4 linked regions of the Drosophila melanogaster genome follow. The protein of the gene in region 1 interacts with the protein of each later gene in a pairwise test. Each region holds a gene or a part of one and is shown in the gene's direction. Other genes may lie near its edges.

Region 1 (6,286 bases):
ATGTATTTCATTCTGATTTTCATGAAAAGTTATATTTATTGTGCTCTGTAAGTAAAGCAAGTGCACGGAATTGGGAAAATAATATATATTTCCGGACAGTCTGAAGAAAATATTGATATATTTAAACTATAAAAAATACCTGTGGGAAGATTGTTCGGATTATTTTAATCTCATATGTGCAAAAACGAATTAACGAACTTTTATCATCCACTTTTCGCTGAAACTGCAATACATTCTGCAGGCCCCTAAAGCTCGATGGCCATCATTAATGCAGCCATTATTTCCCATATTTTTTATTTTTTATTTATATTTCTCCTTATCGTAGGCAGGCCTGAAAGGGGGGCCAAGTTAATTTCAGAGCACACTTTACGTGCTGCAATTTGGAGCGTTTCAGTTGCATTCGGACCCGGGCCAGCAGCACATTTGGTAAGCAATAAATTGACCCGCCAGCCGACGCCATCATCTACTTTAAAAGCATTTGTTGCCACACCGCCACCACCCAGAACCTGTGGCCGCGCCCCCAATCAGCAGCACTTGGAGCCATCCGCCGCCCTGTGACCTCCTCCAATCCCCTCCAGCAGTTGCCAGAGCGCCGTACTCGAAGCGGCGACGACGCTAAAAAGATACCGGAAATGTTACAGGAAACAAAATGACTTAATGGCCGCGATTGCAACGGCATGGAATCGTTTCAGGCATCCTCCTGATCCTGGTCCTTTTCCATTTTCCTTCATGCTCCTTGGTCCATAGCCTGCTGGCATTCATGGAGGTTGCCGAGGTCAGCAGAAAAGCATAAAGGAAAGGTTATGGCACGGCCATGTGCTGAATGGATACCCTTCTTCAGATCGTCTTTGTTTACAAACATATTTTATATCAATAAGTCATAGTTATTATTTTTAAAAAATAATAAAAAGTTAAGCACTCTTTTAAGTGCTCAAAGAATAGCTATTAAAAAAGGTACTAAGTTTAATAAAATACTTATCACGTGTAAGACAAATATATTCTATTAAGGTCAAGTGATATTTGTGATGTAATCCCACTTACATAAACTTTTTTGAGCTAGCATTTAAGCTCATGCTTCTCGAATTCCCCACATGAATTGCTTTTCTTAAATGGACCAGACTCTCCCACTCCACACCTGATGTCCTCTAAATGGAGCCGATGATGAGCGTGATCCGCCAAAGGCAAGTTACTGCCCATACGACCCGACCCGACCTCTTTCTTTAAACAGGTAATTGCAATTGCGACATCATTATCATATGCTAAACGGAACTGATTGCTATTGAAACGGTTTTGAGGTTTGAATTTCTTTTGAGCTGAAACATATTTCTAATTAAATTAATTAAGCGAAGCGAGAATATGGCAAGTATGCAAGCCAATTAGTGGAAAACGCAAAATTAAATGTCTGTGCATTGAGGAGACTGCAGCGGTGTGGAGTGGATGGGTGTAAAAATAGCTGGGAAAAATGGCAACCAGAAGAGTGCGGGATCGCTCCGCCAACCCATTGTCCTTGTCCATGGAGCACTTTGTTGGCCACTCCGGCTATAATTGCGTTGAGACATGTAAGCTTTTGTTTTGCAGTTAGGCGTGTGGCTGTGCGACAAAGTTAATGACAGCATAATTAAACAAAACTAACAGCAGACTAATAAAATGTTCATAGTGCATGTCGCTCAAGGCCTCGGCACATCACCACGCCATCACAACCCCATCACCTCGCCACCCACAATGCCAGCTACTTTCCATATCTCCAAATGTATATACATTTATACAATACATATACCTGGCGAGCATTTCATGTCGTTGTGTGTCAACGTTTGTCAAGCGACAATTAAAGTCATAATAAAGGCATGCTAAAGACAATTATTATGTGCACGTCCTGCCACGCCCCCCAAAAAGAACCACCCAGTTCGTTCGGTTAGTTATGCATAAAGTTCGCCACAAAAGGGTTTAACCTGAGCGTAAACATGCGCTCCTTTGTCTCGCAGGCATATAAATTTCAAAATTAAAGCAGAGTTTAACCTTTGTCCTTGTGCAAATGGCAGGGTGGGTCTATAACCACCTGCCTGCGATTGTGTGAGACCCGCATAAAGAGCCTTCGGTTTTAATGCACGCGAAATTGACTTATTTGATTTATTTTCATAGTTTAAGCCAAGGGCTTTTATTATAAGCATGCTTTAAGTGAGTGGATTTGAGAGGGGATTTTAAGAAAATGCAAGGCAAAAGTTATATTTATATTCGCGTTGTTAATTATTTATTGAGTACTGTATTTTGCGGTGATTAAAAAAATAACGTTGTGTTTGAATAAAGAAAATCATTGTCCTCATAACACTGAGAATGCATAAAATAATTTTTTTTTTAATTGCCCCCAAGTACAGTAAAACAAATGTGCACAGAGCTTTCTTCGAAAAGTTATCCAACCAGCATGCATTCCACTATTCGCTCATTATGGAAAGCGGCTGATTAAATATTAACTAATTTAATAAAATGCCGGCCTGCTTCAATATTGAAATAGTCAGCGAATGTATTTGCCCAAGCGCACGTAGCCGAGATATATAAAAGGTGGTCCAGGGTGCAGAATGATTAGGCTATCCGTTGACCGACGATGCATTCGACCAAGTCAGCCGTTCTCCTGCTCGCCCTGGCCATCAGCGCCAGCTGCGTTGTTGCCACACCGCATCCGGAATTCTTGGATGAAATCTTCGGCTCCATAAACCAAACTGGCCAGCACATCATCAGTGGATTCGTGAATGCCACCAGGAATGGCACGGCCATTGCTGGTGAGTTCCTGGACAGCATAAGGAACTCCTCCGCCCAGTACACGCACGAAACCCTGGAGTTTGCCCAAAAAATCGCAGATGCAGTTCATAGAGCCGCCACTGAGTCAATCGTCGACTTTTCCGCGACTCTGAGGGCGCAGATCGACGCACTGCATCAGGGGATTGATCGGGTGAGAAACATCCTGCAGCGAGAGGCACTTAAGGATGCTCTCGCCAGACTGCAGACCGTCAATACCGTCGTAAATGATCTGGAAGTGGCCGTGAATAACCTCAATGATCGGATAGACGAGAAGAAACAAGAGTATTTCGCCATAATCCAGAAGAAGTGGTACCAATGGTCTGACGCCCAATTGGAACGAGTGGATAAGCTGACGAATGGAGTTGGCAACGAGGAAGCCGAGGAGATCATAAATGAGCTACTCTCCCGGTATTCCGGATATCTGCACAGCTGCCTGGAGGAGTTGCAAGCGCAGCAAGCCACGTTTGAGCAAAATGTCCAAGAGGCCATCGAAAAGTACCACAATGCCACCAACGAACTGACGGACCAAGTCGAGCTCTGCGTCCAGTTCAACCTCAGCTTCCTGTCCTGCCGCAATGGCATCAATGAGGCACTACGCGGACTCGACTCGGCTCCCGCGGAGCTGCTCACCCTGAAGCTTCAAGGCATCCGACTACTGGCCATCGGCCTGAATGCCAGCGGATGTGTGGGCCAGACCCTGGCCGAGCACGAGCTGGAGAAGCCCAGCGTGGAGCGCAAGCTGGATGAGATCATTGCGGAGTACCAGGAGCAGCAGACTTCCACCGATGACGACTCTAGCTCTAATAATGAAACGACCACCATAAGTTCGTAGGATTTCGGGGAGTCATCCAGTAATGAATATGACAACTCCAGCAATGACGACGAATCCTCATGGAAATATTTACAAGAACGTATAGTGTATTTTAGGTGTCGGGTAGAAGCAGCAAAATAAATTACTCTAATGCAACTAAATTAGAAATTGTTTTCCTTCATCGTTTATCAATGATGTTTCTTAATAAACTATGCCAAGCTTCTCAAAATATTTCTTAACTTTGAACAGTACTTTAAAAATTACTCTACCGCAAACGTATTACCCAGATACCGATTAACTTCATCAATGGTGCAGCACATTTTTTGCGGATGCTAAAGCAATTATTTTAAAATTGTCATATTCATTTATTTAGGTAAGGCACGAAAGTCGTGGCAATTTAAAGACACGAGGCTTTAGTAGATTAATTATTTAAATGCATTCGATTCTGCCTTTATATGTAAATTAAATAAGGGTGCTAAATAATATAGAAAAAGGGAAAAAGAAACTAACTTGCACTCTTAGCACCTCCCCTACTAACAAATGATGCAAATGAACTGAGTGAATTCCCCTTAAAGGACTTCCCCAGCTGCTATAAATATAAATAGTTGTATAACAACAGTAACGAAAGGTATAACACTGAATTAACAATCTCAACTGCTATAAAAATGAACTTTTGTGCTTTTGTATAACAGTCAATTGAAGAGGACACGAAGCGCGTAGTACAGCGTTTATAAAGTTTTATGCTGTTATATTTTTCAATGAAAATGTGTTATTTCATATCGAATATAACAGATTTGCTATAATATTCAAATTATGGCTCCGTTCAACTAGCATACATCTGATTCTCATTTATAGCTCATACGCCATGTATACATAACTAACGTACAGCTGGGTAAATTACATTTATAGCTCATACGCCCTGTATAACACGTGTACGATTTCCCCTTTATGACTTTGCGAGGGGGGCACTAAATGAACCACTCGAGAATAAATATTTGCTGAAATAAAACGCAGGCTTTCTATCTTAGTTTGCTTACTTGCAATTTTATTGACTTCATGTGTTTGAATAGATCTCTTTAGTATCTGAATTTGCCTCTTATTACCTAAAGACCACTAAATCTGTTTTTCTGATTTCTGTTTATTATTTACTTAATGATTATACTTTTTGTGCGCTAAGCCAAACAAAAAGTTTACAGATTTCGAAGCATTGGAAATTCGATTCAGTTTCGTGATAATACTAAACTTATCATTTTGCGTTTCTGCCTCATGCACAAGCCAAAAGACAAGGACCTGTAAATATGTCCCAAGCTTTTTCAGCCCACTAACTCATAGACTGAGCGCTTACCTCGGAGGAGTTTCGGCCTTACTAATTGATAATGTTGCACTAACAGTTCGCTGGCAAAATATCGATACATATTCATTGTTTTGCTGCATGCAACGCCTTACTTTCATTCTTGTATACCTTATTGCTTACTCTAAAACACGAAACAATGGCTTAGATTACATATGAATTTCGCATTAGGAATTTACTGAATTTTGTTTAGGAATAATTTTGCATTAGGACTACCAAAATCGGGAAAGCATATTTTCCAAATTAAAGAGAACAACCAAACAGTGATTAGTGATTATAATAATTTCGTAGTTGCTTCTATCTAGCATTGTTTAAGTATTTCTTAAGTCTCTCATCCCTTGTTTCATCGGAAAATATATCAATGAAATATTTGTTTCAAAATTTATATAACTGAAAATATTTCGTAGGACTCAAACATTATGTAGAGGAATTCAAAATATATTTTTTTTGAACAACCAACTTGATTTTCGCTTGAGATCATACAGCTACAATCATGTGTTATTGCTTCGATTCGTAAGTGCGTTCCTTTTATTCCTACTGTGAGCAAATGAACATACTTAAATACTTAGGGTCAGTTAATTTGTTGAGCATTCTGATGATGGCCAAATGAAGTTGATAAACCGCACCGGAACACAACCAACTAAATTCTCAAACTAATTGGCACATAAATGAACCAAATGCCCCAATTTAAATGTTTCCAACAATGTCCATATCTCATTGGTACTCCACCCTGGCCACGGGCACGCCCAAATCATTGATCTCAAAGACAATCAGCTTCCGTTTCTTGCGGACATTGGCCGATGGAATCGATTGCTTGGGTGTCGTCGTGGTCTTTGTGGATGTGGTGACCGGGATGGATTGCTGCTGCTTCGTTGCCCCTCCTTTCGTTGTTGCCTTCGTCGTTGTTGTGGCTGTGGCAGTGGCCACTCCTTTGATTAAACTCTCATTCGTTGTTGCACCCAATTTTCTCTTCGGTTCCAGCAGTTTCGGATTTCCCTTGGGCTTCTCTTTAGTCTTATCATTAGTATTTTCCTCGGGTTTCTTCTTGGTAATTTCTACTGGTTTTTCCTGTGGATTCTCCTTGGTCTTGAGCAACGGTGGCAAAGCTGGAAGATCGCAACGCTGGCGGAGATGACGATACACTGCATCCACCCGCTGTACCAAGCGATTCACATACTTTGTGGTCGTTCGATCTACAATCGAAGGAGCCTTGATGCAGTCGTTGCCACCGAATTCACAAACCTACAGGGGAATAATAAATTTATAAAATACATCTTTTTTTGAGACTTTAGTTTATATACTGACCCGATAATGCTGCAGGATGGCCTCCT
Region 2 (5,801 bases), on another chromosome or scaffold:
GTCTAAGGTGTTCCTGCAACACCTGACCACGCTCATCGAGCTGGGAAATGCTTTTAACGAGCTGTGGCTGGATATATTGGACTACATTGAGCGCTTTATGAAGGTGGGATCGGACACATTGTCCGAGCAGATGCAGGAGATACTGAAGAACATGCTGCTGGTGATGCATTCAGTGCGAGTGTTCCACAATCAGGATGGTAGTTTACAGCAGGCTCTTTGGGAGCTAACCTGGCGACGCATCGGCGAATTTTTGCCCAACCTGAAGGAGGAGCTTTTCCACGACGAAGGTGAGTAACGCGGTGTTGTAGAATGGGTCTAATCTTTTATCCTACCAGCAGATTCAATTACTCCAGCGGTTTCGCTTGACTATACGCAAATTAGATTCGCCCATTCTACGGGCACAACCGATTATTCCTTGTCCCTGCCGTTATATGGCTATAGTCCAAAGATTTCCTCAATATCCGCAAGCAAATGTGATACCCTTCCGGCTACGCAGCGCAAGAAACCATGGGCCAAGCTAAGATCCAAGCTAAAGTTGCTCAAGAAAGTTGGCAAAAAGAATTGAATAGTTTTATATTTCCTTTTATCTTTCCACTCCCCCGTTTATGTCTTTATATTTTTATACAAACTAAACAATAAATGTGCTCCATATTGATTGCAGGCAAGCGAGCTCAGACCTTAACGAACCCAGCTCCACAGGCAGCTGTGGCTGCCGCTCCACAGCAACAGTTACCAGCGGTGACCATTTTGCCCAGGCAAACCCAGGTTTCCAACGAGTTAGTGGTGAGCGCGCCTACTCCGCCGGCAGCCACACCTTTGCTGGGCTCTCCCGTCGAGTCGCCGAGGCGGAGCATAATACTGCAGCCACCCATGGCCGATGTACTGCAACAGCCGCCCAGCTTTGTATTTGCTCAGGTAGGTTTTACAAGAATAAAATATAGTTTTCTATTAATTAAACAAATATTTTTCATGCATGTGGACAGCCCATTATTGTGCCACCCCAGCCGCCTGCAGTTACGGACCCAATACCACCAAGTACATTATTGCCGGATTTGGTGAATGAGGCAACTGCTGCTGCCGTGCAAGCCACGACCACGTCCCCGACGCACAGCCCGCAGGAGGCGGAGCAGCCGGCTTCAATAGTGCAGCAGACCAACATCGTAACCACCAACAATACGTACAATAGCTACGCCATTGAGGTGCCCATGGCGCCGGAGACAACTGCGGAACAGTTTGGGCAGCAGCAGCAGCAACTGCTTTACCAACAGTACTATCAACAGTATCAGGCCCAGCAGCAACAGTTGCCGGCTCCAGCCAGCGACCCTGCCATCAATGTGCCAATTAGTCATCTGCTGGCCGGAAATGCGTACCCCTCGCTCCCCAAAATGCCGCAGGCATCCATTGTGCACAGCTTTGCGCCCGTTTACGAAAGCCAGGCGGCGACGAGTGGAGCTGGGACAGCAGCAGCGGACATCTATCAGGAGTATGTGCAAAATCCGTACAACCTTACGTTGCAACAGCATCCCCAACAGCAGCTCCATCAGCAGCAGCAGCAGCAACAACAGCAGGCTACAGGAATGGCCAACGCATTTCCCGCCGTTGCCACGCCAGCCAACTACTTTAATGTGAATGTGGACCCCAGTAGCATACCGCCCGGATCGGAACTGCTCTACGGCCAGCAGTGAAGAGGAGCATTGAAAGTTCATTTCAATTTCAATCAAACCACCTGACCGTCTTAATTTGTACCCCGTATAAAATTGTGTCAATTTGTTTTTGTTATTTATGCCTCCCCCCAACTAAAGTAGAACTACATTCCGCCATGGCGTGTGTTTATTAAGCTATCCAGAAAAACAAACCTAAATCACAGATGCGAAGTTCGGCTGAACCCCCTATAAGCTTTAGTAATGCAAATAGTTTAATTAATATTAATTAAATAATTATATCTTCTGTATGTTATGCAAAGAGGCAAACTGTAAATAATCAAAATTAAAAGTCTATAAAACAAATCAAACGCTGGTGTTTTATACATTGAAAAGTTCTCAAAGCCTTTTTGGGGCAAAAAAATGTAATTGGCGACTGTTCACCCAACTCCGTGACAATGCATATTGCAGCATTGCCGTGACCAGGATTCGAACCTGGGTTACCACGGCCACAACGTGGGGTCCTAACCACTAGACGATCACGGCTACGTCGGGTTGTTGGGTGGAGCTTCCCAAATCCCAGCTCGCTACCTAATGGTCATCATTGATTAACTAAAGTCTTAGTATCAACTAGATCCTTTCATGCGAGTTGTAAAATAAAGTCAGAAGTTAGAAAATATTGTTTAAATAAAAAACTGCACTTTTGAAATTAATCTTAAATTGTTGAAAGGTTTAAAAAATAAAAAAAAACCCCGACTCCGTGACAATGCATATTGCAGCATTGCCGTGACCAGGATTCGAACCTGGGTTACCACGGCCACAACGTGGGGTCCTAACCACTAGACGATCACGGCTACATCGGGTGATGTTTGACTGCTGCCAAATTACTTTTTTGAAACAAATCAGTTTTGACTTCAATCTTCAATGTCCGAAGTTTCTACAAGTATCATAGATAATAACAATATTACTGATTTTATTTATCACTTCTTTTAGAATTTTGGACACCGACCGTATATCAAAAGTAATTTTATTTTAAAAGAAAACAAGTTTTCTTTTCTTTCTTTTCTTTATTGGTTAATTAGAAATAGCCCTGCCTTTCACTGGGCGTGCCGAATGCCTCTCACTTTTCGAGCTACTTACTGGTTTAAGCTACCATTACATTACCAACAATTTTTAACACATGCGTAAAATTATACAAATTTGACAACATTTTCAATGAAACACTAATTCGAGTTATCACTAAAACTTAAGATACATGCGTGTAGAAATATATTTATGTCTCTTAAGTAACATATCTATCCTACGAATACTTCAAAATATCATAAAAATTCTAGTATTCATCCTTAGCTTTCTTCAGAGTATACCTTTGCATAAAAATATATTATGTATAAATAAGCAGCGTTAAATTTAAATCTATATCGTTGAATAAGAGAAGTTTTTATAACTATAGAAAATATATAGACATTTTTAAAAAATTAAAAAGAAACCCCTTTTAAAAAATTAAAAAGAAACCCCATCTCCGTGACAATGTTTATTTCAACATTGCCGTGACCAGGATTCGAACCTGGGTTACCACGGCCACAACGTGGGGTCCTAACCACTAGACGATCACGGCTACAACAGGGTGTTGGGCACGGGCAGCCAGAATCCAAATCTAAGGCACAGTGTTGCAGAACGACACACAAAAGTAATTAATATTAATTACTGAAAGCAATCAGTTGATAAAAACGAAAGCTTATAAAATTTCGCTCATAATACAATAATTGCATTATAATAAGTATATGAAACATACGTCTCGAACATCGAGCACCAGATGACGCCAGCCAACTATTTCGTTGTGCAGCACTATTTGGTTGCTATCGTTTAATCGGTCTATCGATATGAATAATAAGCCCAAGCAAACAGCCTGGTAATGTTGAATTAAGGTAAGTTTGTAACTGAAACACTCGTCAGTTAAATGGTTGACTAAAGTCATAATAGTTTCATTAGCTTGAAGACAACCATTGGGAGGTGAGCAGCTTTAAGGCCATCAGAATGGAATCCGATTCGAGCGAAAGAGGAGAGACAAAAGCGAAGGGAAGTGTCGGTGGAAAATGTATTACATTCAACGAGCTCGGTGCCAAAACCGCCAAGTTCGAAAAAATTGACCCTGATTTAGCATATCCATGCACCTCGGGCCAAGCAAACACATCGACTGGCGCTGCTGCTGATGGATCCAGTAAGAGTGGACGCCACAGGTCCAGGAAGAGCCAGCATGGCGCCAGACGCATAAGTGCTGACCTTCAGTTCGAGTCGGTTGCTGCAGACGAGCTGGGAGCCGGTGGATCCAAGGCACCTAAGAAACGCAAGATGGAGCAGAAAGCCACGGTCGCCCAGGACAAGGTGAGCGTGGCCATCAGAAGTTTGGTTCAGAGCGATGAGATGCAGGAGCTCATCAAGCGCATCGCCAACGAGCGGGTTCGCTGCAACTTCCTGCTGGCCACCTATCAGCTGCCCGACATGAACTTCAGCCTCAACACGTCCATGGATACGCTACGCAATCAGTTCCGGGAGCGCCTCAAGCAGCGTCGCGACCGAGGAAATGCCAATTTAGCCTCCTCGGCTTTATCCCCAGCCAGTAACCGCCAGAAATTCCCCACCAAGGGAGTTGAAAAGGCAAAAAACCCGTAGAATTATTATGTTTTAGGAGTAAATAAACATTAAATAAAATAAAAGATTTCGGAGCTGCTTTGGTAGCCCGACACACTCAGGTTCAACCAAATATACATATCTATATATATACATACATACACAATTTGTAAGAAGCAACATATTAAAAAACATTCCTCTTCAATATTATTCAAGACAATTTAAAATTCGTTTTGCTTAAACAGATTTATTTACGACTTGCTTGCTTACTTGCTATGATTTTCTGCGCACTTTGCTAAAATTAGTCATTTGGCATAGACCTCGCATCACCCGATGTAGCCGTGATCGTCTAGTGGTTAGGACCCCACGTTGTGGCCGTGGTAACCCAGGTTCGAATCCTGGTCACGGCAATGTTGAAACAAACATTGTCACGGAGTTGGGTATTTTTTTACACTCTAATTATTTTGATGAAAATGAAAATAATTATTAAACAAATTGAAATGATATATAAATAAATGATAAAACATGTTTTTGCTAATCTTATTATTTGATTTTCTATTTGATTTGGGGTAGTGTTTACTAATTACATCTGCAATTTTTTTTTATTAGGTGACGTGGTGGGATCTTGGAATTGCTGGGCGCAATCCAATGTAGCCGTGATCGTCTAGTGGTTAGGACCCCACGTTGTGGGTTACCACACCCAGGTTCGAATCCTGGTCACGGCAATGTTCAAATAAACATTGTCACGGAGTTGGGTTATTTTTTATTTTTAAGCTTGGAATTGGCTATTTTGTACAAAATGTTGGTTATCGAAAACTCGTTGAGTTTTAAGTCCACAAGCACCAATGAACGAAATACTTCAAAATAATTAAAATTTGAAAATATACATTTTTCTGGCAAAGTGAATATGGATGTCACGAAAACATCAAGCGCTGAGGAAACCGAAAACACGGAAAATACTAGTCATGCTAAAAACATTAACGAAAACGTATCAAAATTTTATGAAACTATTGGAAATATTTCCCGAAATATGCGCAAGGACGATTGGACATATCTACAACGCCATCCAGAGATCCGAGCCATAATTCGGGTCATTACAGCCGAGGCGGTTAAGGCAAAGCCATCGAATATCTACCAATTTACAGCCAATTTATTTGGAAGCGAAAGAGACGAGGAGATGGTAGAAAAGGCAATAATTTTTGTTTGCATATTTACATAAATGAAAAAAAAAACGCTTAAAAGAATTGTAATTTTCTAGATAAACAAGCAACTTAAGTGGTTGGAAGAGCAGTTGCGAGGGGGTACGTGGAATCCTGACGAAGGATGTGCCCCGTTTCCAGAATCCAGCGAGACTTCTTCGGAAACTAAATGCCAAACTAATTTTAATACCACTGCGAGTTTCAACATACCCGAAAAGCAAGTTTGCCCTGAAAATTATAAGCCAGATTGCAAGAAATGTTAAAAATGTGAACTTAATAAATTCAAAAAAAAAAAATTCAGATTGCAAGAAATGTTAAAAATGTGAACTTAATA
Region 3 (10,822 bases), on another chromosome or scaffold:
GCTAATTAAAAGTTTGCGCACCAAGAGAATCGAATGAGAAATAAACGCTTATCTTTAAAGCCATAAAAAGTAAGCAACTTTCGCAGCAGGACCTTTTATCCTTGGGTCAAGTGTTAACGCTTAAAACTAAATCTTCGGCGTCTGGCCTTTTGTCCAAGCCAGCTTTGAATCTGAATAGAATCTGAATGGTCGAAAAAGCTGGGAAACTGTTGCCTGTTTTTCCCTCTGCTGTTTTTACTTATTTTTTTTTGTTGGGGGTGTCAAAAGCCACACGACACAGGACACTTGGACCTTCCCTGATCTTCTTCTTTGTAGTCTGTGCCATAATCTTTGCCTTTTTATCGCCGCCCATCTGTTGATGTCTTTATTAAAAAAAAAAAAAAAAAAGAAGAGAGTAAAAGTAGCTGGAAAATCCATTTTTAGCCCATTTTTTGTGGGTTTTATTGCGCAGCCGAGATGAGGGAAGGCAGAAAGGACACTTCTTAAGCATTTTATTAGCAAACTTCAAGTTGTTTCGTCTGCACATAATTAAATAAAGCGTTAAAATTAAAAATCAAGATTTTGCCTCCTTTTTTGGGAACTCTACCTAGGCATCCGAAAAAAAATATGTTTTGAGTGTGGGCGGGGTGAAAGGATATGGCCGTGCACTCGGCAAAAGGACCTTTTCTCTCAGATAAGCATTACAATGTCGTTAATTCGCTTTCCTTTATGCCGCGGCTCGGAATTCCTTGGCCTAAAGTACCAAAACGCCGCGATAAGGAGCGAAAATGTTGCGACATTTTCCGCCTGGTAATTGTCCTTGCCAGGATGCGCGGTGTCCAAGTTTATTGCCTAACGACCGCGGCACGTTCCCCTCGTTTTTATATTTTAATTAAAAACCAGCAGTCAACTGGCGGGCAAAGTGAAAGGAGTGGGATTCAGTGCCGCAGGGAAGGTAAGTTTCGAATGTAGTTCACTTATCCTCGTAGGCATTGATATATATACCTCTAATTTTGGGATGATTGCTCTCTTCTCAAAACTTTTAAGAAAATATCAATCTTTTAACTTGCTCAAAAATTCAATTGAAACTAGCTCATTGTGTTGCCTTGGCACTGTCATATATTATTTTTGTTGTTAAAAACGCTTAGCAGCTTTACAAATTTGTATAGTTTTACAAACTATACTATAATTTAACTATTTTATGTAAAAACGTAACATACAAAAATATTAATTAAAAATTAACTTAGATTTAAATAAAAGGAATGATAACATCAAATAGAAAAGACATTATCCTTCATGCATTTTAGCATTCTCAGAGATCAAAATGGATTGACAATCCAACTTCGATCTCCATGAAATTTATTTATGTCATAACAAGTTTTGTAAAATCCTATATGTAACATAGCTCTATGTTCGCTGACTCGCTTAATCCGTTAACCTTAAGGACCCCCTTCACAGGATTTTGATTGCGCTAATACTTGCCACAAAAATCAGCATCTAAATAGGAAACTCGTGCGAAATTCGATCGTAAATTTATTAGAGCTTAGACTGCACTGCCTGCAAGCCTCGATTCACATGTGTCAACAGACAATTTTCGTTTATTAAGATGGGATTAGGACCCAAAAAATGGGTATAATAAAATGTTTAAGGGGGAGCAAGGAACAAGCCAGCAAATGATAAAATAAAGAGCAATAGGCCAGATGCAAAAGTAGCTTATTACAAAACGAGGGTGCAAACAGCGGCAGCCAGGAAATTTCCTTCTATTCGCCCTTTTTTATGGTAACAAAAAAAAAAACAGGCTGACGAAATCTGCCATGCTGGGGAGGGGGGGCAATATTTTTATGCTTATGACGACCCTCTTTTGTGTTAATAATCTTGAGGCGTCCACCGTTGTAATTACATTAAGATTTGAGGTTTTCTTCTCCTTTATTTCTGCGGGTTACTTTTTATGGTTATTTACATTTTTGGGACCAACAGAGCGATGAAACAATGAGCCACGGCAATCATCATTTAAATTTCTTCTTCTGTTTCTCGATCGTTTGCTGGCAAATAAAAATTCAATTGTGCACAACATAGAACAATTATGACAAAAAACCAAGTGCCGAAACGAGCACACAGGATAAAGGGTTGAGTGGCGAGAGTTCAAGGACTCGCCGTGCATATTAAGTAGTTGCTGTGTGTGCACTTCGAATGATATAGTGATGGGTATGCTGGATTCGAGTCGATGTGCGTAAATTTAATTAAAATAAATATATATATATATATATATATATTCCTATTACCATAATTAAAGTAAAACTGCATGTTAATCTGATGCTAATAGTTTAAATAATATAATAGAATACTTTTGTGTTACAACTAGCAACTAATTAATGTATTAGTGTCAAAGGAATATGGTTTAAATATTAAGTAATTTATATTGGCTTTAATACTCGCATATGAGTTAATACCAGGTAAACTTGTGGTCTAAATTCTGGATACTATAGATACTTTTTTCGCTGTCTTTCTGTAAATACACATTCCCCAAGGCAAATCACGTCGAATGAGTGGCATCCCAGGATGGGCAACACATTTTTAAAACGCCCAAAGGGACACGTGCATGAAACAGCCCGGCAGGACATCACATTCGCAGTCGCAGAGTCGCAGGATCGAAGCTGGCAGAACGAGAGTAATTTACAAAACTCGTCGCCAGTTGACTTCAACGCGTTTGGCCGTCGCGCAATTAGGCAATTGGCCGCGAGTGTGCGGGTGTGGGTGTAATTGGCAAAAAATGACATGCAATTGCGTGGTGGGGCGGGGCGAGTGCAGAAATAAACCAAAAATTGATTTTTATGTAATGAGTGCGAAGGTCCTGTGCAGGACAACTGCAACTGCCTGTTGTTGTGTGTCACTTTTTTTGGCCTGTCGCACGCCGGCTGCATATTAAAAAGCGCGTGATGCCTTCGCTGGTCAAAAACGCTGGCCGAAGGCCTGTCAATTTTTATGAAGTTAAATTCTCAATGAAGGTGGGATATACATACATACATACATAAATATTATGGCAGTTCGCTGCGAGAGGTGTTTCGTGTAATGAAGCGCATAATTTTAATTGGTTTTTGTGAATTTAATATAGCATTATTAAAGCGGCGGCTGCAGGTAATAAAGCAGCGCCAATTAATTTAGAAATATTTTCGACCGAATATAAGTTAGTTCGATTTAAGGCATTCTCTAGTACTTTGTTAAATGTATAAAATAATAAACTGCTTAATAAATTTTAAAAAATTTACTTTTTATAAATACTTTTATCTTAGGATAATCTTTATTAAATGTTGGTCTTTTATTGACCGTTAAAAATGGAATAAATAAGTTTATTATCCTATAACCAAAAGCTTTTTTTTTAAATAATTACAAGTTTTCAATTTTGCAACTATAAATGACTCTACTTTTCAAAGACTGAAAATAATATTTAAATAAATTCATTGGCGCCATTTCAGAACTTAGCAGCACTGAAAATACAGTCAACGGTCATACCGAAACGAATGTAGTATTTTTGTCGATGACATTAGCAATTCAAAGTCAGCCCGAGCTGGTCATACTCAGGCAGCAACAATTTTTTGTTTCAAGTTTGTTTGTGAAAATTTAAAACTCAACGTCGACGACAACAGCTCGATTTCCCCGCTGTTGACGAAATCGATCCAATCCGACCATGTCGCAACAGCGCTCCACAGAGCAGATTGCAGCTAGCAACAACAACACCAGCGATGTAATAGCGCTGGACGACGACGAGGATACGGATGTGCAATTCGTTGCAGCTCTGCGTCCCACCGCACCAGTCATCGATCTTTGCGTCTCGCCCTCCACTTCTGCTGCTGCTGCTGCGGCGGCGGCAGCTGCAGCCCACTCAGGAGGCGGAAGTGGCGAGGATCCGGCGGTTGGATCCGCATCTGGAGCTGCTGCTTCGGATACCGATTCACTTGCTTCTTCGCCTGACGAAGGAGCGTTAGCCACCGGTGTGGATGCAGGTAAGCAAAGTTGCCTTTCGCCACAAGAAGTTCCCTTTGCTTTTATAAAGCTTTAGGATACACTTGCACTATTCCTAGAGCGCATACACACGCATATGTACATATACATATGTACGAAATCAAATTTGAAGGACTTCCTAAAAGCATTTCAAAGCAATACTAGAAGGAATTATGAATTATGACAGATTATTTTGCACTCACTAGCACAATAATATTCTATAATATTATTGAGAGCACAAGAGTTATACTTTTGCATCGTTATTATTCATATATCCCTTAATCCTTATTCTATTTGATTTAACTTATTTCAATTAACTCAATTTCTAGCGGCAGCCGTTTCTGGCGAAGATTCCCCCTCTGCAGCGGCCGCTGCCTTGGAGTGTCCCATCTGTTTGCAAACCTGCATCCACCCAGCTCGTCTCCCCTGTGGCCACATCTTCTGCTTTTTGTGCGTGAAGGTAGGTAGCCCAGAAAGCCGAAAGCGGAAGCCTTTCGTGGCCACTTAGTCATTCAATTCACATTCAAACTCGCTTTTCTTGAATATTATTCCCGATCAGCAAAATCACCCACAGCACGTAGCCAAGTTCAAGGCTGTTCTTAACCCTTTGGTGCGACAGCTGGTTTCACTGATTGATTAGCATGCCAACCGAACACGGCTGACCAGAAATTATGGCATTAGATTGGCTTCCGGCTGACGACTTGTCAATTGGTCTCAATCTCCTGCCAATTTCAACCAGTTTTAGCCTAAGACTACCACTCCAATTAGCACTCGAGTGCATTTTCCTGTTCAGAAACATGTTTGGTCGTGGGAAAGTGTTGGTTTAGAGAGGCGATTCCAACTTCCTTAGTTTTGTAAACTTCATCTATGCTTATAACGTTTAACACAAGTTGTTATTTTTTGGTTGAGGTAAAAGACCTCATATTTTATTCCAGTGTACTTAATGTGGGGTAAAGGTCTTAGGTTGGTATGATCGTATTTTTGCGTTTTTACGCTAATGATAAGATGCTTTTCTGAAATGTATTATTTTCGCTTCTTGTTAAGTTTTATGTGTTAGGAAATTACAATTGCTTTTCAACACATAGCGATGTCGAATCAAATTTTAATTTCTCATTGGTCATTTTACGCTTTCCAGGGTGTTGCTTATAAGAACCGCCGTTGTGCTATGTGCCGTCGCGAGATTCCCGCCGAGTTCCTGGACCATCCCCAGCTGGTGAATGGCATTGAGGACATCTGCACCACTCGCGCGACCGAGGACGGCTTCCAGTGGTATTACGAGGGAAGAAACGGTGAGTATAATTAAGCTTTTGGTGCCGGCCGTCCCTCATTCCCATAAACCCCAAATCCTTCACGCACTAAACCCATCTAGGGGGCTGGTGGGCGTACGATTCTCGGACCAATGCAGACATCGAGATCGCCTATGCTGGCTTTGAGATATTCAAGGCAGATAACCCTGAGCTTGCTCCTTTATTTGATCGGGACTGTCCAAACCCTATCAATCACTATTGTCTGTGTGACGAAAATATTATTTTCTACAATGCCGATTCAGAAATTGTTATATACCCAACCATTATTCGTTCATCTGGTCAGGGCGCTCCAGCCTCTTCCGAAAACAATGGTCGGGACTCGCCAGCCCTATCATTGGACGATATTATGAGCTTAGACCCCGATGAGCTGAACATCATTAGGCCGCATCCATGCACACTGCCCATTCAGATCTGCGGGCGTATGTACATCATCGACTTTTTGCAGAATTTACAGTATCTCCGCTTGACTCCAGAAAAGAGCCGCAATATAATGCGCTGCAAGAGCACGGATGACGTTTCTGGCGGAATGAGAGGAGTTGCTGGACTGAGCCAGAACTAAAAATACAAGAACACTTTAATAATTAATGACAACACCTAACTCCTTACCCATTCCGCACATCCATTTCCGTAATAACAAACTGTAATTAAATGACCAAATCGTCGAAAAGAATTGGACCGATTCCATTCCATTCCGAATTTTTCTTTCTTGTCAAAATGTTTAACTATAGGTTGGTGGCAGTACGATGACCGCACTAGTCAGGACATCGAAGATGCCTTTAAGAAGGGCGACAAATCCTGTACAATTTTGGTAGCCGGCTACGTCTACATTGTGGACTTGGAGCAGCTAGTCCAGCAGCGCCAGAATGAGCCCACTCGCTGCCGGAGGGTTAAGCGAGACCTAGCCACCATACCCAAAAAGGGGGTGGCCGGTCTGCGGATCGAAGGCAACCAGGTGACCAGCGACACCGTCTTCAGCAGGCCAACCAACACAGCCAATCCAACCACCGTGGCAGCAGCTGCCTCCAGTTTCATATCCACCATAGCAGCCACAGATGCGGCCATTAGAATCGCTAGCGACATAATAGGCTCAACGCTGGCTCATGCAGATGAACTAACTCGGGGACTGACGGCTAGCAATCTCAACGATGATCTCAGCAGCAGCGGTGAGCAATCCAACTCCACAAATTCAAACGATGCAGGGCGCTCGCCTGCCTCCTCGCCTGCCTCAAGTTCCATGCAGGATCTGATCACGCGTGACCTGAGGAACACCCAACAGGTGATTGCCCACAACCAGCACACCATTGATCTCTTCGAGCAGGCCTTGAACGACTTCCAGGCGCTGGCCATGCGCAACTATGTTGACTCCAGCGATGAGGAGAACAACGACCAGGATCAGGAGCATGAGCTGCGGGAACGGGAGCAGCTGGAGGCGGGCGAGCAGCCACAGTCCAACGATAATCCCCAGAGATTTTAGAAATAATCTACTTACCAGAAAGCTTATATTGTTGCTCGCCTAATCGATACATTTAAAGAAAATATCAAATGTTCCTTTAAGCAGATTTCGATATACGGAAGGGGAATGTTAACTAGAGAAATGCAGCGCGTACCTGAGAATATATCAACTAACATATATAACCATAGGCTCAGAGCGTTGGGCGTCGAACAGGAAAAATAGAAAAAATAGAAAAGAATGTCTACAGGGTAAACAAACATATTCCTTAAAACATAAAATCAGATATTGAAACATAGACGTTACAGCAGAAACATAAATAATCTATTTAATACGATATTCAATTTTCCCCAAACAAACTTAACCCAATTAAAGCAAAAAAATGGTATTCTTAGTAGGAAATGGTAAGGACAGCAGTGGCATTGGTTGAATCCATTTGTGTGGCCTGTAATGCTCTAAGAAATCTCTGTAAGACCTCCGAATAGGATTTCTCTGAATTAACCTGTACATAATAATTACAAAATCAAGAGTTCTACAAGAATTCGGAAAGTTAACCCTCCCTATGGTCTCATTTGCAAGCTGGCAAAAGTAAATATAAGCTCCTCCACCAAGAAAGAGTAGTGTGAAAAAGACAATATTTATGAATTGGGATTAACTAGACATGTGAGTTCAATTAGCAGGAAGTTCCCACTCACATAATTGATATTCAGTGCGTTTCTTAAATCGGAATCGTTTAATTTGACTTACTTTCCACAGTATCTATGTTCTGACACAGTTTTTAGATTTAAATTAATGCAAGCTGTTTTCGAAGCGCACTGTCATCAGGGGAATCAGATGCAGTATTAATTATTAAGTCGCCGTGAAGTGCGTTAAACAAAAACATTTCTGTGACAGTTGAATATATTGATATTTTGTATACTCTAAGTTGCTTTAAATAATAGATTTAAAGGAAAATTGTTAGACAGACCTAATGTTGTATACTACAACTATGTGCTACGGATACGATATACGCCCGATTTAATAATCTCAATTTTGTGACTACTATTTATAGATTCGTTTTCGATATGTACTCCGCCATTACTTCTAACAGCGAAGTGCGTATTCGTTGCTTCCCTAATATCTACGGTATACCTAAAGCTCTACTGAACCCGACTCCCGACTTCGAAAAGCCCCTCCTGGTAATATCAACAGCAGTTTTAAAATTAAACCTCAAATTGATTTCACCGCAACTCATTGTCAACCTCATAATACTTTCTGGCATTTTCCATTGCGCATTTTACTGGATTTTGATAACATTTGCTATTCCATAACTGACAATGAATGAAATGGTCTTAATTACAATCATTTGCATTGCATATCTGGAATACAGAGCCTTTTCGATATGGTTTTCCTATCCTATGGTGGCAGTTTCTAAACAATTCGATTCGTACTTAATAATCATTTAGCTTTTCAACAATTAAATCAAAACCAAATGTGCCAAGAAACATTTATTGAACAGCACTCGCTCCGGTATTTTTGACAGCACTGATAAGGCAACTCTAATAAACAGCACGTAGCATTTTCTGTCGTCTAATATAATTACATTTAATTAATGAATTAAGCATTTACAACTTAGTTTATACAAGATGTTAAGTAATAGATATTGCTGAATCCGATAAATGTCGATTAGAGATCTGGCTTCTGTGCAAGATCACATTTGTAAGAATAGCTCCTAGGACATGTATTTAAGTTGGGCAATAAAAAAAACCACAAAACCTTTGTGAAATATTATTTTAATGCTCGCTTGTCTGCGAATGGAAGTAATAAATATTTACATTTTTTATTTCAAGAAACTCAGTTCTTTATTAAATTTCTAGATCAGAACTGCGTACATTGAGGAACATATTTAAAAGGTTTTCCATGATGGCAGCTTTAAAAAGAAAGTGTGTTATAACCAATTGACCATATTGGATTCCTTTTTTAAAAAAGGCAAAGTGAAAAAAATAACTTTCCTAACAAATAGATATTAAACAAAATGATTCATTATTTTGAAGCACAAAAGAAAGAGATATTCCAATCTTCCATTGATACACTATTATTGTTCTCACAACAATACCAACAAGATCCTTATCTCAATGATCCTCAACTACCCTTAACTTAGACTTGTTAAAGGCAATTCTTGTGTTGAGATCATATACCCCCTCCCCCTCGCAAGTGGCACTGATTGACGGGCATGGAACCTGCACCCTGGACATGGAACTGGAACCCTGGGAGATACTGGCCCTCGGTGTCCCTCAAATGCGTGAAACCCTATGACTCATGCGCAATGGACCAAAAGAAAACGCCTGAGCCGCACGCAGGCAGCATAACAATTTATTGGTCAGAACATACAAGAAAAGGTATTTGTTGATAACGTGGAAGGGGGGAGGTGGCTCTAAGAAGGGAAAAGTGGATTGTGTGATTGGTAAGGATACACCGCGACAAAAAGATCTTATATACTTATGGCGTTATGCTGTTATCATGGGTGATAAAGGTAATATTTTTATACATATGTACGTAACATAATAATAAGTTGTTAATTTCGAAATATTTCGTGTATAGAATAATGCTTTTCCAATTCATAGTAGAGACATTTATTATGAATATTATATGCTATGGAAATTCTAAGTATGTAAATATACAATTGATCGCTGAATATATGCTATGGAAATTCTAACTATGTAAATATACAATTGATCGCTGAATTCGCTAAGTATTTTCCACGATGTAGAAAAGCCCCCACCCACTAACATGTTCTCCAAAGAGATCAGTCCTCTGTGGGTATGAGTCATCTTTGTTTATGTAGAAATTATGCTACCTGCTGCACTATGTTATTTTCATTTTCGTGCTCTACCTGTTGTGCGAAAGCGGAGGAGCAGGGGTATGGGATTCGACACAAATCCGGAGACACCGTTTTCACAGCTCTGCTCTTGTATAGCAATTCTTTGATGACGTGCCGAGTTTAACTACATACCCAGCTTATGACGTACAGACTGATAAGCTGATAGGTTGTTTACGCAAGCGAATTGCATTTAAGAACAATTTAAAGTTTAATTTTTATATGTATGTATGTTTGTTTGTGTATAAAGCGAAAAAGTATTAAGATCATACTTTAAGTAACTTAGCTCATGCTTTTATAACATATATTGATAAAACAAAATCAAAATACATACATACATTCTTTTTAAGAGTATCACTAAGTTTTTGACTTTCCTTAAATAGATATACATACATACATATCTAGTTATTTATTTCATTTATTAAGAAGCTGACTTTTAAATAAAATTAATACCCACATTTAGTATAAAAAACTGTCTAATAATAAATTTTTCTACTTTCAGATGTTCTTTCAAAATTTTAGATCAAAGTTTCCAAAAGTTGCTAATAGTATTCTTAAATTTAGTACTTAATATTCGAAAGAGAAAATAAAAATAGAAATGAAAAAGAGTGTGGTAAAAGCGAGGTTTTAGATATTCAACGACACACAAATGTGTACATCTAATTTCATTGATTTGAATTATTTAATTTATTTATTTTTGACTTCATTATCTTTTTAAGCATTATTTTGCTAAAAGCTCAGAAGCAGCTGCCATGAGCGCTTTTAGGCACTGAACACGATCGTGCACGTCGCTGACGAGAGCTTTATTAAACTTTTAAGCCAGATCCAGTTTCATTGGCACTATCAAGTAGAGTGTGGTGAGCAAAAGAAAAACGGGGATAATCGGAGAGGCGACAGCAACAACAACGACCCAGTGCCTTGGCAGTTGATGTCTGTTTGTGGTTGGCCATCCCGCGCAGTCGCGTTCTCCCGCACACTTGCGCAGTGAACACAACCTGCGCTCCAAACTGGTTTTGGTGGAGGAAATCCGCAAGAGAGAGCGCTAGAGAGCGGATTGGAACTCGGTTTCGGCCAAAGCCAAAGCAGAGCCAGCAGCCAGTTTTTGCTTTTTAGTCGATTTGTATCTACCTTTGGTGCGGACGGTTGGTCGGAATAAACGCGTTTCGCAGCGGAACTCCAAGAAGAGCAGAAAACCAGTCTTTAATTGTTCCATTTCAAGCTGAAATCAAA
Region 4 (7,531 bases), on another chromosome or scaffold:
TCGTCCGCCCACCGTTTACCCGATGACCACTCACCGCTGGCCACCAGGCGAGCACCTCTCTCGTGCGCCGTTCGCTTCCGGCGCAGATTGCTCATCAGCTTTTTGTCGAGTGTCTGGTGTAGGAACTCCCTGCTTACGGCGGTCATCCCACCGAGCAATTCCGCTGCGAGCACGCGAATTTGCAGCGATAGATCGCACAGGGCTTCGCAGACCTTGCTGAACGCAGCGTCTATCATGCGCAGCTCCTCCTGCTGGCGGTCCGAGGGTAAAATGTAGTCCGGATGCCGATTGCCCAGCATGAAGACCAGCTGTAGAGCTTCCTTGCGCACACACTCGTAGTCATCCTTCATGGCCTCGACGGCACGCTTATAGAGCACCGCCGGCAGTTGGGATCCCCGTTCGCCGAGGGTCAGCAGGGCGTGCAGAGCCTGGGCACGAACGCTCGAGTCCTGCGAGTCGATGTAGAAGGCTAACTTCCATACGTAATGACGCTCACCCTCCATTTTGGTGGCAAAACGACCGATTACCAGCATGGCGTTCTTCTGCGTATGCGCCGAACCGGAGCGCAGCTGCTCCTTGGCTAGGTGGGCCACCTGGGTTTTGTACGATATGGGCAACATGTGCTTCCTGCGCTCCCCGATTCGAAACAGGCACATCATGCCCTGGGCGAGCACCTTTTGGGACACCTCCTTCCTCAACAAGAAGATAAAGTAGTCGATGATCATGGTAAGCGCCTGCTCGGTGGCACACTCGCAACCCAATCCGGACAGCAGCTCGAGCAGCTTCACCCGGATGGAGGTGTCGCTATCGCGTTCCTGCAGCTGATACAGTTGGAAGATCTTGCTGGCCACCTCCTTAAGCTCGCCCATTTCCACGTCCTCATAGGATATCTCATCGGTTATCTTGACCAAGAGCTCCAGCAGTTCCCTGCTATTCGCGGCCGTCATTGGGGGAGCTCCAGTCGCCGCAGCCGGCGGATTTCCGATGACACCTGTTGACGGGGCTCCCGTCGAAGCAACTGGTGTCCCAGTGGGCAGGACCAACGCACCGGCGGGCAGGTTGCCCACATAGGCGTCCAATTGGTTGAGCGCCGTCAGCTTGCGCTCCACATTGCCCACTTTTCCGGATTTCCCGCCCTTGGCATCAGCGGCCAGCGTTTGCAGACGCAGCTTCTTCACCGGCGGCGACCCGTCCACCGTTTCCACGTAGGTGCCTACGCGCTTCTTAATGGCCAGCGCCATGGTTTCCTTTTCCTTTGCGCGATTCAACCAATGCAGACTAGAGTTGCACTCTTCCACCTGGTTTAGGTAAACCGCAAATTAGAGATGGCACACCACTGATGCCAACCACCCGCCACTAGCGATGGCATCGTGACCGCGCAAGAGGTTCTTGCTGGTGGATAACCCATAACTAAATAAATTGCTTTCACAAGAGTGATAATGCTAATATCACCAGGCATTTAATAATTATATTATTTTAAAAAAATGTGTCATTTAGTAATCATATAAAGAAAACGAGGCATATTTTTTGGACATTTCACTTTGAAGGCGTGAAACATCGATAGTATAGTGAAAAATCGATGTTTTCTTTTCGTCTTTTGTTTTGCTCTCGCTCTTCTCCATGAAGTGATAACTTCTCAACAAAGTGATGATGATCCATCAACCACTATTTGGGTATTCATCCTCAATTCGGATTGATTCGCCCGTAAATCATTACTTATATTTAAATCCTTGTTTCTACTATGTCATCTCACATGGGCACAGTTATGATTTCTCCACGCTCAAAACGGACAAGGGGTCATCATCTACCTTGCCCTTCTTTTTGGCTGCGCAATTCTTAACGCATCTCATGGCTTTGAATAAGACTTTTTCCGAGGGTAGCGTCGGTTCCACCTGACCGATGGCGTCTGTAGTTGGGGATAATTATTGAATGGATCACTAAAAGTTGGATGTCGAGCACTAAACTTACTCATAAGCGAACGAAACAGATGTTCGTGATCTTTTAGTCTTTTCTTTTTCTGATTCCCATCAATATTGTAGTTCAGAAGGATGTCCTCGGAGAAAATGAGTCTTATGGTGCGGCTTAATCTTCCCTGGCGCAGGAATTTCCGCATGGAATTCGTCTGATCAGGGATCATATAAGTACAACTATATAATATTCTATTGATGGAAAAGCATGAGGAAGGAGAAACTTACATAGATCCCCCTGGAGTCCTGGCTTATCTTGTGATTCACTTCGACCAGATCCTCCTCATACATAATTGGAAAATCATCGTCCGGATTTCCCTTCGCCTTCGGCTTGGTCGTTTTCATCGACTGCTTAACGAATTCCGTAAGTGTCTTAACCGCCCTCGTCAAGTTTTCGATTTCTGCGCGCTGCGACAGGACTTGGGAATTGAGTTCTAAGTGGGTTAGGTAATGTAATATGATCCGGTGTTATAAGATATGTATGTCACAAACATACCATCTATCTTTGTTAGCAGCATGGCATTGGCTGCGATATGACTATTCTCGGTGGCGAGGCAAAGTCTCTTGATTTCAGGCATTGCTTCGTTAATTTTTAGCATTAAAGTGAATACATATGTATATTTAGTTTATGAATTGAGGAAAGTCCCTAATGGAAGCGATTCGCTTCGCTACACAGTTAAGCTCCAAATGGAATTCCTCGCTGTTTCATCATTGCCTTCGCTAGGCGACGAATGGGAAAGTAAGGGCACGGGCAAAAACTCCCTCTTGCTCATCACATATGAGTAACTGGTGAATCAGTGATGACGACGTCTGATTAGCGGCGGAACTGTACAGTAGTACAGAGAACATGGTGAAAGCCAGAATATCGCATGACAACCAATCGCATAAGCCACAGGATAAATAATACTAATTGTTTATAATAATCACAATGTTTTTAACGAATTTAGTTGGTGATGCGTCCTGTCAGTTGAGTAGGTGGGAATAGCATGGACTTTCCCCAAATAACAAATGCTAAGTTGGGTTTTTTTAAAATTGATTTAATACATTTTTTTTATGTTACAGTTAAATTTGAAACTATATTTAACAAGCAATTTGGATGTCATCGATATTTTGTAATAGGACCATTCACTTAGCGGAGTCATCAACCTTGGCGAATCTAGCGAGCACATCCACCTCTCGCTTATCAGGTCTATCGATAACATCGCTCATCAATCGATTCGTGAACCAGCTCTATCGCGAAACGGTCGCGTGTTCGCACGCAAATTGCAATATAAATCCACAGAAATTGACAGGGAACGTTGCTAAAGGGCGAAAAACAATCGTGCCGCGATTGAGGCCTGCGATCTGCACAGGAAATGCACAATTGCGAAGCGCAATTTGATAAATTCGGTAATGTTCGATTCTCGAAAGAACCAGTCGTGTGCGTCTGTATGTGCTTCAAATGTCACTCTGTGTGCGGGTGTGTGGGGAGTGCATAAAAGGCATAGAGGCAGCAAGGAGTGAAAGAGAGAGCTCCATCGGCAGCGCAACGAAAGTGAGCGAGAAGCAGAAATTGTTAGTGCTTATAAGGATATGTGAGAAGGGAGAGTGAGACAGTAAGAAAGAACGGAAGAAGCAGCAGCGACGCCGACCGACAACAACTGTAATTTTCCATTAATTTTTGGGCGGGTTTTGTGCTGCACAATAATACAACTGGCATAATATAACTTGGCTTATTTTTTATAACCAACATGTGTATTTTGTTCACGTTTTGCTGCGTGTGTAGGTGTGAGTATATGTATGTGTGATAAACTTGAAATACAACGCAATCGCAACGAGAACCAAAACTTGTCAAGGTAAAACGGCTAAAAAAAAAGAAGAAACGAATTGTGTGTGAAAAATTCCAACTGAATTACGCGAGAAATCATGTGAAGAGCAGTTCGATACGCATGTGTGTGCGTGTGATAGAATACGAGGATGAGAGCGGGCGTGCGTTTGGAGTAGTCTGCTTAATTGATTTTCGCTTAATTACTGCAGCGGTTGCATAAATTAAATGTTTACATTTGCCCCGGACAGTGCTGTAAAGAGAGAGAGCCCTTCGAAGCCAGGTGGCAACACCGAGGCCCGTCTATCGATATCCACTGCAATTAATTACTCCGACTAATTTCAGCCTCTGTATGTTTTTTGCCGGTTAAAACAATAAATCGCTCTCTCTTTCTGCCTTTCTTCAATATCACTTCGCCCCGCTCTCTCACTTGCTCTCCTTGGGTCGTTAGCCAACACTGGCGAACATTAAGAAAGTGTTAATTTGCCTAAAATGTACAAGTACATGTGCGCGATGGCCTGCTGTAAATGTGTGTGGGTGTACGGGAGTTTTCCTCTGTCAAATGCAACTAAGTTTTTTTTTACCGAAAATTCAGCCAGCAAATGAAAATCGTATCGGGTAAAATATGCATTAGGTGTAGGTGTGTGCGCATTTAGCGGTTTCTCTGCCCATCTTTCTTCTCCCTTTTTTCTTATTGTATTATATTTTTTTTGCATAATCGAAGCCGCCTTTCGGTACATGTGCATGTGTGCTGTCCCGCTCCCACTCCCACCCCCATACTACGGCCACCTGTACGCCCTTGCACACTCACACACAAACGCACACACCCAACAGAGTCACACGCACGCTGCACAAAACTAGAGTAGCTATCAGTGTATTGGTGCGAGATATAATATCACTTGGGAAGTCATTTATTTGCGGGTCTCGGAGTCTCGTGAGCTGTTTTTCCTTCTGTTTTTTTTTTTCGAATTGCTTGTTGTTTTTATTGCATTTTGATTTGCTTTTCGTATGTGAAAAACCTTTTTGTTGTGGCCCATTTTTGTTTTTTTTTTTTCTAGCGCGTGTGTGTATGTGTGATTTTTCGCGCTCTGAAAAACAATTTTCGACTGGCGCCTTTAAACGCTTCAGCTGCAATTGGTTTGCAAAAAGGAGTGAATAAGAGCGCTCGCTTGAAAGTGGTGGGAGGGAGGGGATGTGTGAGAGAGCGGGGCATTTCTATTTGTAGAAAAAGAGCGCATAATTTGTAATAGTTTGCCATTTACGCTTTCCATTTTGTGTAAAATGCATGCAAACCCCTTTTAAAGAGCAAAAATAACAAGAGCAGCACCAACAACTACTGTTACTATTGTTTCCTTTCCTTCAATCTCAACCCCATTCCTTTGTTTATTTATCTCCCCGAGTTAACCTAAAACCTGTACATCAATAACAGTATTTTGATATCAGTATTTATTTGATTTATCAAATTACTTGAAGTTGACTTAGGATTATTATAAACAATGAGTCCCAAACTGGTTAAAGCCTCGAAATACAACTGCTGTAGATTATATCGAAATGTATATGGTTGTACTTAGTGAACAAATGGAGGGTATTTGTTCTTCCAGAACTTTCCTAATATAAGCCAATCTCTCTCTCTTCGCAAAACTGCGAACATTGGCATATTTATTGAGTGATAAGTTAATAATATTAATCAAATTAGGTGTTCTGCCTTGTTTCACATTAATTGTTAACAAATAAGATTGACAAGTCTACCTACTATACCAGAATATACCGAAATTAAAATGGCAATGACTTTAGTGTAATATTGTGATCATAACTGAGAATTCTATTGTTTTGAACCGTTAAACGTATGTAGAGGTAGTAGAATAGGATACGCATAACTCCTACTCCGGTAACTAATTAACATTTTTCGTGACACTCTTTACAGCACTTGAATGCTGACAGCATTCAAAGAGGTTTAGTCCCGGCAGCGACTTTAATTAATTTTTCCCTGTGGAGCACAAAGATCACATCGGATCTATATAGAGTCACGTCTATATATTCAGACCACCAGGACGCAGAGGATAGAGGTGAAAGGACGAAGCGAAGGAGAGACGCGCGCCCCCCTCGTTTCCCGCCCAGCCAACAGCCGTGTGAACCCGTCTTGAATGGATCCATTTGTTGGCTGGTTTCAGAAGGAACAGGAGGGACCATCGCTGTGCACATGGTTAAAGATTTGGGAGACGAATGCCCAAGAGATGGGCGCATTGCTTAATCAACAGCTACAGCAGGCGACGACGATCAACGGGAGCACGAGCAGCAGCAGCAGCAGCAGCAATAGTGGTAACAACAACAACAACAACAACAATAACATCATCAATAACACTATCACCAACACGACCAATAACACTGGTAACAATTCATCGGCCAAACCCTACTTATCGCGACCCTACAGCTCGCTAAATCGGGTGCTCAATTTCCGAGCGGATTCCCTGGAGATCCTGCAGCAGCAACAACAACAGCAGCAGCTCAACGGGACCACTCAGCGCAACAGCACCAACATCAATACCACAAGCGGCGGCAGCACTAGCTCGTCGGCAGATTCCACCACGAATCGGGACAATAACTCACCCGCCAATAGCAGTTCAACCAACGGACCCGGAGCAGGAACGGGAACGTCAACAGGAGCAGGAGGTACCGGTACAAATAGTCCGGCGACGACAGCGTCAAGCACAGCTGCGACCACGACTGGTCCAGCCACTAGTATGAGCGACACCAGCAACAACCCGCCACAATCAACGACCACGCCCGCCAGCCGCACGAACAGCATCTACTACAATCCATCGCGGAAGAAACGACCGGAGAACAAGGCTGGCGGAGCCCACTACTATATGAACAACCATATGGAGATGATCGCCAAGTACAAGGGCGAACCGTGGCGCAAGCCGGACTATCCGTATGGCGAGGGCGTTATCGGGCTGCACGAGGAGATCGAGCATTTCTATCAGTACGTCCTGCCCACGCCCTGCGAACACGCCATCCGCAACGAGGTGGTCAAGCGTATCGAGGCCGTTGTCCATTCCATCTGGCCACAGGCAGTAGTCGAGATCTTTGGCTCCTTTCGCACTGGCCTCTTTTTGCCCACCTCCGACATAGATCTCGTTGTGTTAGGTGAGTGAAGGGACGGTACTAGCTTTTTAAGTGGCCCCCACATGCATTGACTTTTTATTTATGCATTGGCTTTATTATCTTATCCTAATCTCTTCAATTTACTTTCAGGTTTGTGGGAGAAGCTGCCGCTGAGAACGCTGGAGTTCGAGCTAGTGAGCCGTGGTATCGCCGAGGCTTGTACGGTGCGTGTTCTGGACAAGGCATCAGTGCCCATCATCAAGCTGACGGACCGGGAAACGCAAGTGAAGGTAGACATATCGTTCAACATGCAGAGTGGTGTTCAGTCGGCGGAGCTGATTAAGAAGTTTAAGCGCGACTATCCAGTGCTGGAGAAGCTAGTGCTTGTGCTGAAGCAGTTCTTACTACTTCGCGATCTCAACGAGGTGTTCACGGGCGGCATCTCCTCCTACTCGCTGATCCTTATGTGCATCAGCTTCCTGCAGATGCATCCGCGCGGTATCTACCACGATACAGCCAATCTGGGGGTGCTTCTCCTCGAGTTCTTCGAACTTTATGGACGTCGCTTCAACTACATGAAGATCGGCATCTCCATAAAGAACGGTGGCCGCTACATGCCCAAGGATGAGCTGCAGCGTGACATGGTCGATGGCCA

The links.
Region 2: the proteins of CG16826 (region 1) and CG8490 interact in a two-hybrid assay, tested with the Drosophila melanogaster proteins (one large-scale study listed by BioGRID).
Region 3: the proteins of CG16826 (region 1) and Rnf146 interact in a two-hybrid assay, tested with the Drosophila melanogaster proteins (one large-scale study listed by BioGRID).
Region 4: the proteins of CG16826 (region 1) and Trf4-1 interact in a two-hybrid assay, tested with the Drosophila melanogaster proteins (one large-scale study listed by BioGRID).

The regions. Positions count from the first base shown.
Region 1 is NT_033779.5:13,345,198-13,351,483, forward strand, and holds CG16826 (uncharacterized protein), read left to right. Parts: upstream 1-2,575; 5' UTR 2,576-2,599; coding exon 2,600-3,625; 3' UTR 3,626-3,823; downstream 3,824-6,286. Other genes in the region: CG9395 (uncharacterized protein), read right to left, coding at 5,670-6,197, 6,261-6,286.
Region 2 is NT_033778.4:12,331,812-12,337,612, forward strand, and holds CG8490 (uncharacterized protein), read left to right. Parts: upstream 1-3,504; 5' UTR 3,505-3,565; intron 3,566-3,620; exon of another isoform or gene 3,621-3,629; 5' UTR 3,630-3,674; coding exon 3,675-4,310; 3' UTR 4,311-4,394; downstream 4,395-5,801. Other genes in the region: garz (gartenzwerg), read left to right, coding at 1-287, 662-915, 984-1,685; CG34021 (uncharacterized protein), read left to right, coding at 5,176-5,457, 5,527-5,730.
Region 3 is NT_037436.4:19,635,510-19,646,331, reverse strand, and holds Rnf146 (ring finger protein 146), read left to right. Parts: upstream 1-3,515; 5' UTR 3,516-3,664; coding exon 3,665-3,980; intron 3,981-4,307; coding exon 4,308-4,438; intron 4,439-5,113; coding exon 5,114-5,267; intron 5,268-5,347; coding exon of another isoform or gene 5,348-5,844; exon of another isoform or gene 5,845-5,973; intron 5,974-6,013; coding exon 6,014-6,759; 3' UTR 6,760-7,786; coding exon of another isoform or gene 7,787-7,881; 3' UTR 7,882-9,125; downstream 9,126-10,822.
Region 4 is NC_004354.4:8,557,458-8,564,988, forward strand, and holds the start of Trf4-1 (topoisomerase related function 4-1), read left to right. Parts: upstream 1-3,437; 5' UTR 3,438-3,802; intron 3,803-4,237; exon of another isoform or gene 4,238-4,304; intron 4,305-5,695; 5' UTR 5,696-5,915; coding exon 5,916-6,918; intron 6,919-6,950; exon of another isoform or gene 6,951-7,026; coding exon 7,027-7,531. Other genes in the region: IntS4 (integrator 4), read right to left, coding at 1-1,241; CG12112 (uncharacterized protein), read right to left, coding at 1,764-1,906, 1,969-2,122, 2,196-2,401, 2,464-2,566. UniProt on the Drosophila melanogaster protein: Involved in a post-transcriptional quality control mechanism limiting inappropriate expression of genetic information. Polyadenylation is required for the degradative activity of the exosome on several of its nuclear RNA substrates.